Canis lupus familiaris: one gene and its partner. The main gene of each other region encodes a partner of the protein of the gene in region 2 in a complex. Links are inferred from orthologs where the notes say so. Each region holds a gene or a part of one and is shown on either strand. Other genes may lie near its edges. The genes, in order: POLR2D and GTF2F1.

Region 1 (3,809 bases), on a different chromosome or scaffold from region 2:
AAAATATTTCCCCTAGGGCAGCCCGGGTGGCTCAGCGGTTTAGCGCCACCTTCAGCCCAGGGTCTGATTCCGAAGACCTGGGATCGAGTCCCACGTCAGGCTCCCTGCATGGAGCCTGTTTCTCCCTCTGCCTGTGTCTCTGCCTCTCTCTCTCTCTCTGTGTATCTCTCATGAATAAATAAATAAAATCTTTATAAAAAAAAATAAAATATTTCCCCGTTAGGGGTACCTGGGTGGCTTAATTGGTTATGCCTCGGACTCTTGATTCTGACTCAGGACATGGACTCAGGGTCTTGAGATGAGCTCACAGTGGGCTCCATGCTAGGTGGGGAGCCTGCTTAAGATTCTCTCTTTCCCTCCCCTCTGCTCTTCCCCCACCCTGAGTGCTTTCACTCGCTCTCTAAGTTATAAAAAAAATTATTTCCCTCTGATCTATTTTTTTTTTTTTTTTAAGATTTATCCATTTATTTGTTCAGAGAGAGCGAAGAGAGAGGCAGAGACACAGGCAGAGGGAGAAGCAGGCTCCATGCAGGGAGCCCGATGCAGGACTCGATCCCGGGTCTCCAGGATCCACCCCAGGCTGCAGGCGGCGCTAAACCGCTGCGACGCTGCGCCACCGGGGCTGCCCCCTCTGATCTATTCTCATGCCAAAGTGTCACCACTTTAATTGCTATCAGTTGTTTTTTTTTTGTTGTTAAGATTTTATTTATTTTCATTAGAGACACAGAGAAAGGCAGAGACATAGGCAGAGGGAGAAGCAGGCCCCCTGCAGGGAGCCCAATGGGGGACCTGATCCCGGAATCACACCTTGAGCCAAAGGCAAACGCTCAACCACTGAGCCACCCAGTCGTCCCAATTGCTATCAGTTTTTAATGCGTTTTACATCTTTTAGGACGAATTCTCCCCTTCATATTTCTCAAAAAAAAAATTTTTTTTTGACAATTCTTACAAGAGCCTAATGCAGGGCTCCATCTCATGACACTGTGATCATGACCTTAACTGAAATCAAGAGTCAGTCATTCAACCAAGCCACCCAGGCGCTCCCAGAATGGCACTAAATGTATACATTAATTTGGGGAGAACCAACATGTTTAAAATACTGAATGTGTAAGTCTACTTTCATCTGTCCAGGTCATCTCCTAGGCCCAACAGCTTGTAGTTTTGCTCGGAAGCTCTGCAAATTTCCCTCCAATCTTTTCTCCATGCGTACATTCACTTTTTAGAACAGATTATTCTTCATATACAATTTTATCACCTTCATTTTCTGCACACTTAACGTGGGAACATCTTTCGATTTCATTTTCTACCACAATTTGAATGACCATATATTCACCAAATGATTTACCACTATTTATTTAATTACTGTTGAATGTTTAACGTTTCTCCCTGTCCTTGGCTATTATAAGTAGCTCTCTGAAAAGTATCTGTGTATATACATCTTTTTTTGTATACCTGCTTTTCCTAAGGACAGTACTTCTCAAACATTTTCACCAGAGCAGAGCACACAAGTATCCCTAGGTGACCTGGGGGGCACAGGCTCAAATGACTTTCTGCATCTGTAAGGTTTTAAGTCTTGTAATTTAATTCAGGAATTCACATATATTTTTTGTTTTATTCAACAATATGCTGGTATCTGTTTGTTTTAATGTAGAAGTCTTTTAAATCACCTACCATCAAATAAAACTGATGTTTGAAGATGTGTTTTTTTCCTGTGGCTTCCTATATGCCTTAGTACATCATGTTTTTCCAGGTTACCCAATTTGAGACGCAATGCCTTAGAAAAAAATGCTAAAGGCTGCCTTCTGAGAAGTACAGCAAAGATTCAGAAAGAATGCTCCTGATTTATACTTAATTACATATAAAGATCCTGAAGACATTTTAAATAAATAAGCCCACTTTATTAAAAAAAACTCACAAAACACTGTTATGTGTTATATATATATATATTTTTTTATACATATATAAAATATATATGTGAATACATGGAAAAGATCTGGAAGGCTAATAACCAACTAACAGTGGTTACTGTGCAGGATGACCACTGGGATTTTAGGTATGTGGAAAGGTGGCCAAAAAGAATTTTGATCTCATAAGCAATTTTTAAATTTCAGACAGATATTATTTTTCTTACATTAAAGGTACAGATGATGACCATGGGATGGCAGTGCTGGCAGTGGCAGTAGAAGCAAAAGCATTTTACACAGATGTCCAACAGTTTGGATTTTTTTTTTTTTTATGATAGTCACAGAGAGAGAGAGAGAGAGAGGCAGAGACACAGGCAGAGGGAGAAGCAGGCTCCATGCACCGGGAGCCTGACGTGGGATTCGATCCCGGGTCTCCAGGATCGCGCCCTGGGCCAAAGGCAGGCGCCAAACCGCTGTGCCACCCAGGGATCCCAACAGTTTGGATTAATAAAAACTTTCTTTTAGCACTCACCTACGGACACTGGCAATGGTCTCTCTGTTTTTGAAACGGCTGAAACGGGCTGTATAATTTAAAGTTTTCATGAAGACCTCAGAAAGTTCCTGTTCATCCTCTGCACTCTCATTCTGTTGCTTTCGATGCTCCAGAAGCATATGAACTTCTGAATTTAGTAATGTCTCCGCTGTTTCAAACTCTATTTGTGAGAAGCATAAATGTCAGCTGAAAGTATTCCTTCAAAAGACAACTTCTAAATGTTCATTTTGCCTTCAAGACTAGCAGCAAATTTCTGTCCCTGCATAAATCCAGAGGCCCAATATCCCACAGCTTTATCTTCATCCAGACCAGTCTACCACAAGGGACAGTAGAGTTCATGAGATACTAACACTTAGCTCAGTCCAGCTAGACAGTTTCTAACATCAAAGAACCTGACCTGGATGTGCTACAACACAGGATGTGTGTTGTGATATGTCACAACAATGACATATCATTATCCTATAATAACACATCATTACCCTAATTAGGCCAGTTAGGATTTTCAAAATAGAGCATAATCAACAATTATTTCTCTGTAGCTTGCATGAACTGATAATCTAGTTCCACAATACTAATATTATACTCAAAACTTTAAGAATTATTACATCTTAGGGAGGGCCAAGTATTTGGAAACACACATTAATAATGCATCCCAAATTCTATTTTTGTACCTGTACAAATCTGTTATTTACTCATTCACCCAGATCACTACCTATTACATACTATTGGACTTGTCCCTACCCTTGGGCAGCCCGGGTGGCTCAGCGGTTTAGTGCCGCCTTCAGCCCAGGGCCTGATCCTGGAGACCCGGGATCAAGTCCCATGTCAGGCTCCCTGCATGGTGCCTGCTTCTCCCTCTGCCTCTGCCTCTCTCTCTCTGTGTGTCTCTCGTGAATAAATAAATAAAATCTTTAAAAAATAAATAAAAAATAAGTCCCTACCCTCTAGATTTCATAATCTTATGTTGTTCCCCAACTAAACCTACTTCAAGGGATCCCTGGGTGGCGCAGCGGTTTAGCGCCTGCCTTTGGCCCAGGGCACGATCCTGGAGACCCGGGATCGAATCCCACGTCGGGCTCCCGGTGCATGGAGCCTGCTTCTCCCTCTGTCTGTGTCTCTGCCTCTCTCTCTCTCTGTGTGACTATCATAAATAAAAAAAAAAAAACAAAAAAAAAAAACAATAAACCTACTTCAAATATTTACTATCACACAAATCTTGTAACTAATTTTTTTAGCTTCAAGTTTTTATTTAAATTCCAGCTAACATACAGTATATTATTATTTTCAGGTGTATAATTTAGTGATTCATCATTTACAGATGACACCCAACAAGTGCCCTCTTTAATACCCAT
Region 2 (4,439 bases):
CTGGGAGGTCACACATCTCAAAAGGTGATAACTACTCAGGTGCTGCATGTCAAGGTGATGGGTGACGAGGGGCAGGTTCCTCTGGTTTCTTGTGGATGAGGGAAAAGGGGCTCTCCCACTCAATGAGGGATGGCGGTAGTATGTTAGTATGTTCCCAAGGTATTTACCAAGTTATTCCTCTTAGTGAGGGGTGTTTAAAGCTGGGACCCCCTGATGTGTGGGTATCTCCCTCTTGGATGATCAGTGATAAAGAATGCCCCACCCCACCCCCACCCCCAGAGTGATCAGGGATTTGGAAACACTCCACCTTCTCTGGGTAATTTAGGTGAGACCAGAGGTTGGGGGAGCATGTTAGTTTGTATATGAATGTGCATACGGCTGGAGATGCTGGGGGGCAGGCAGCCTACAAGGGAAGAGGGTGCCCTGAGCAAGCATCCACCTGCCCAATATCCAGAGGGACTAACGTCTCTTTCAAATAGCCTCACTTGCTCAACTAGATGAAGGGATGTTTAAAAACAGTCAAAAGACAGACCGGTGCTGAAAACAGGATGAGCAGCAGGAGCTGCCTGAAGCTGCCAACTTTAGACCTGGGCCAACTCCTGTGCTGGGCTGGTCCAGTCTCTGTGGCTTCAAATGCTGCCCCCAATGCCCAGATGCTCCCTCCCAGTCTCCCAACTCAGATGCTCCACTGCTTATTTACTGTCTCCTCCTGGGTGTCTGATATAAGATGTTGAGAACTGAACTCCCAATACTCTGTCCATCCGGCCCTGTCACCCGTCAACATCCAATCATTAACAAATCATGTTGGCTCCACTTTAAAACACACTAGAATCCACTGACTTCTCACAACCGCTGTTTGCTCCATGCCCAGTCGTCACTCACCTGGACCACCGCCGACGCCTCCACCCTGCAACACCCTTTGTCTGCCCCTGATCCTATAGCACCCAGATCAGTTTATAACTCCCCTGTTTAGAACCCTTTAAAGGTTTCTGCTATAGACTGAATGTTTGTGTTTTTTTTTTTTTTTTTTTTTTTTTTTTTTTTTTTAAATTTTTTTTTTATTTATTTATGATAGGCACACAGTGAGAGAGAGAGAGGCAGAGACACAGGCAGAGGGAGAAGCAGGCTCCATGCACCGGGAGCCCGATGTGGGATTCGATCCCGGGTCTCCAGGATCGCGCCCTGGGCCAAAGGCAGGCGCCAAACCGCTGCGCCACCCAGGGATCCCTGAATGTTTGTGTTTTATCCCAAAATGCATATGATGAAACCTAACTCCCGGTGTGATGGTATGGGGAGGTGGGGCCTTGAGAAGGGGATTAGGTCCGAAGGGTGGAGTCCTGGTGAATGAGATGAGTGCCCTCTTAAGAGCTCTCTCACCCCCTCTGCCACGTGAGGACACAGTAAAAAGACAGACATCTACGAACCAGGAGGCAGGCCTTCACCAGACCAAACATCTGCTGGCGCCTTGCTCTCAGACCTCCTAGCCTTCAGAACCGTGAGAAATAAATATGTGTTGTTTAAAAGCCACCCGGTCTGCGGTATTCTGCTGTAGCAGCACCCATGGACAGAGCTTCCAAAAACCATCTGCAGGCTGCAGCCCCCTCGGCCTTGCCCAGATGACTCTAGGCTGGAAATGCCCGTCAGGGGGCACAACTTCTAAATGCCATCCTTTCATGAGGCCTCCTGTGGGGCCTGCCCAATCTTCCTCACAGGGATCCCTAGCAGCTCAGCCTGGGCCTCAGTACATCGTCTTATCCCCACTCGGGGAGCGGGGTCGAAGCCAAGCCTTAGTTTTACCACTGTAACTAAGCGCCTATTGCAGGATCAGGTTCTTACGCTCACTCCCAACGGGGACTTACCTGATTCCAGGTAGCAAAGTTGACTTTGTCAGCAGCATTGAAGGCCATGATGTTGTATTTTTTCGTTGTGTTTCTGGGGTGGGCAAAAAGAGGGCTGCTCTCAGTTCACCGTTCATTTAACAAACCCTCCCTTGGCTCAGCAACGCTGGGGACCCACAGAAGCCCTCAGGGGTTCCCGGTCTCTCCCGACCCCTCTGCTGAAGAAGAGCAGGAGGGGAGGCATAAAGGTCGGGGGACGGGGGGTGCCCAAGGTGTGGGAATAATGGAGACCTCTGTCCTGGGGGCGGGGGCGGGGGAGGGCAGGCAGGGCATGTTTCCCAGAGGAGGAAGATCGTGGGGCTGGGTTTTATAGGACCGACAGGAGTCACAACGCCAGGGAAAAGGCCTTCCTGCCGAGAGAAGGCTAGGCCAGGGGGCTGCATCCGACGTACCGCCCACTAATGGGCTCATTCATTCATTCCGTTGCAAACACGGGATGCACCTCGCTCAACCCCAGCCCTGGGCCCAGGTCCCTGCTCCTCGGGAGGCGGCATCACCGGCGGCGCCAGGCTGGCCTGGGAGCTCAGGAAGCGGGGAGAGGGCTGCGGGACTTACTTGGGAACTCGGACGACATACTCGGTGACGTTCTGGCTGCTGGGGCCCTGCGGGCAGAGAAGGAGGGGCGGTGGGTGAGTGGGGGGCTGCAGAGGCGGCGCGCCGCGACCCCCGAGCTCCCCCGTGTACTCACGAGGGCCGCCATGGTGACGGTCGGGGGTTCGGGTCCGCTGCGGCCCGCGCCCCTCAGTCCCGGGGAAGCCGCCCGCGCGCCGTCGGGTCTCTGGCCCGGATCGAGGGGGCCGCTACCCAGAAGTCGGTCTTCTCGGGGAACCGCTCCGGCCGCGTCTGCGCCTGCGCCTAACCTGGACGTGACACTCGGGCCGCGGCGCGACGGCAACCTCCTCCGCGTCACCTAGCTCCCCGAGTCCCGCGGAGCGGACGGCCCAGACCGACCCCGACGCGGAAGACACCCCGGCTGCGGCGGAAGCCGCGTCGCGCCTCTCTATAAAGCGCGACTGATTTAATCAGCCTGTGGCCACGCCTCCTCGTGACATCACATCCGGGGGCCGCGGGGCGTCCTGGGAGAGGAGGGAGGAACCTAGCCTCCCTCGCGAGCTCTCGGGCGCCTCGCGCATGCGCCACTGCACTCCGGAAGTGAGTCGGAGGAGGCCGCGTCACCATAGCGACCGGGGCCTCTTAGTCCGCGCCGAGCTGTTGGGGCGCCGCCAGCTGCGCCCCTTTGGGTTCATTTCCTCCTTCTGCCCCGGGGAGACCTCATCGTCTCGCCAAGTGATCGGGCCCTTGTGACGTAGAGCCGAGCCAGGAGGAGGAGTCAGGGCCCGGGTGGGGATGGGGCGCGACCACCCCAGGGCCGCTGGTGGGATGGGTCTGTGCAAGTCCAAGCTGCCCGAGGTGGGCAGGCCCCTGCGACCCCAGGAGAAGGGTAACGTCGCAGGGGCGGCTGGCTCACGGGGCGGGGGGGAGGAAGGAGGCCGTGAAGGGCACGAGGGAGGTGCAGGTACCCCACACCCCAGGCCGGTGTGCACACGCCCCGCCCCCCACCCACCGAGCTGCACGTGCTCGAGGATCAGCCGCGCTTTGATCCGCTTGGGCACCTGCTGCGCGGGGTTCTGGGCACTCCACGGCGAGTATGTCACACTAGCTGTCCGGCCTCCAGGAGATGACAGTGTAGACAGGGAAGGAGACAGTCTCAGAAAAATGGGATCGGCGAGCAGGAGGGAGCAGGGCTGCCACGGGGAGAGAGGAGCCGGCTCTGCGGCCCCCAGGAGAGGGGAGGTTTAAAGTTTACGTTGGGCCCTGTGGGATGCCTGGGAATTCACTAAGCCAAGCGGGAGGGAAGCAAGACACGGAAATTGCATTATCGACTACTGCGCTGCCTTAGAGACGCCTGGTAGCCACGCACCTTCGTTTGCTCATCACCCGCTACCGCACGTCAGGGACCGTGGCAACTGGTAGAAACCCGGGGACCAGCAAGACAGAACTGGTCCTTGCCCTCCCGGAGCACAGAGTGTGGCTGGGGAGACGGACAAGAACAAGGAAACAGGCAAAATCCTAGCTGACCGTGGCTGCTGCAGTGGAGGAAATGTGGCCCTGGGACGGGATGATGCGGGGGGAGGTCGGGAGGGGAAGCCTGATGGGCGGGCGGGTGGGCTGTGTCCTGAAGGCGGCGGAGCAGGGACTTGGCGTGCAGGGGGAGCAGCGGGAGAGGGATGAGTTTGGCAAGTTCAAGGGACAGAAGAGGCCAGGGGGGCTGGACCAGAGGGAAGGAGGAGGAGGGCGTTGTGGGATGGCCCAGAGGGGGCGCAAGTCTGAGCCTGTTTCCTCAGCTGTCAAACGGGACAATCGAGTCATTGAGGTTTTCAAGGAGATGCTGTGTGCAGAGGGCATGGCCTGCTCGCAGTCTGCATCCTCTTCGCAGCCCCCCAAACCCGCCCCTGTAGCAGCGCTAACCCGTGCCCTGTGTGGATATACCACTGGGCATGGATGCACACCCCCAGATGCCACCCTAGGGCAAAAATGGGT

The links.
Region 1: GTF2F1 (region 2) and POLR2D share a complex: the UniProt entries of both Homo sapiens proteins name them as parts of the TBP-based Pol II pre-initiation complex. The link is inferred for Canis lupus familiaris from reciprocal best matches to the Homo sapiens genes GTF2F1 and POLR2D.

The regions. Positions count from the first base shown.
Region 1 is NC_049240.1:24,117,158-24,120,966, reverse strand, and holds part of POLR2D (DNA-directed RNA polymerase II subunit RPB4), read right to left. Parts: intron 2,618-3,809; coding exon 2,437-2,617; intron 1-2,436. UniProt on the Homo sapiens protein: Core component of RNA polymerase II (Pol II), a DNA-dependent RNA polymerase which synthesizes mRNA precursors and many functional non-coding RNAs using the four ribonucleoside triphosphates as substrates.
Region 2 is NC_049241.1:54,168,338-54,172,776, reverse strand, and holds the start of GTF2F1 (general transcription factor IIF subunit 1), read right to left. Parts: upstream 3,062-4,439; 5' UTR 2,599-3,061; coding exon 2,587-2,598; intron 2,501-2,586; coding exon 2,454-2,500; intron 1,933-2,453; coding exon 1,860-1,932; intron 1-1,859. Other genes in the region: adenylate kinase isoenzyme 1-like, read left to right, coding at 3,246-3,339. UniProt on the Homo sapiens protein: TFIIF is a general transcription initiation factor that binds to RNA polymerase II and helps to recruit it to the initiation complex in collaboration with TFIIB. It promotes transcription elongation.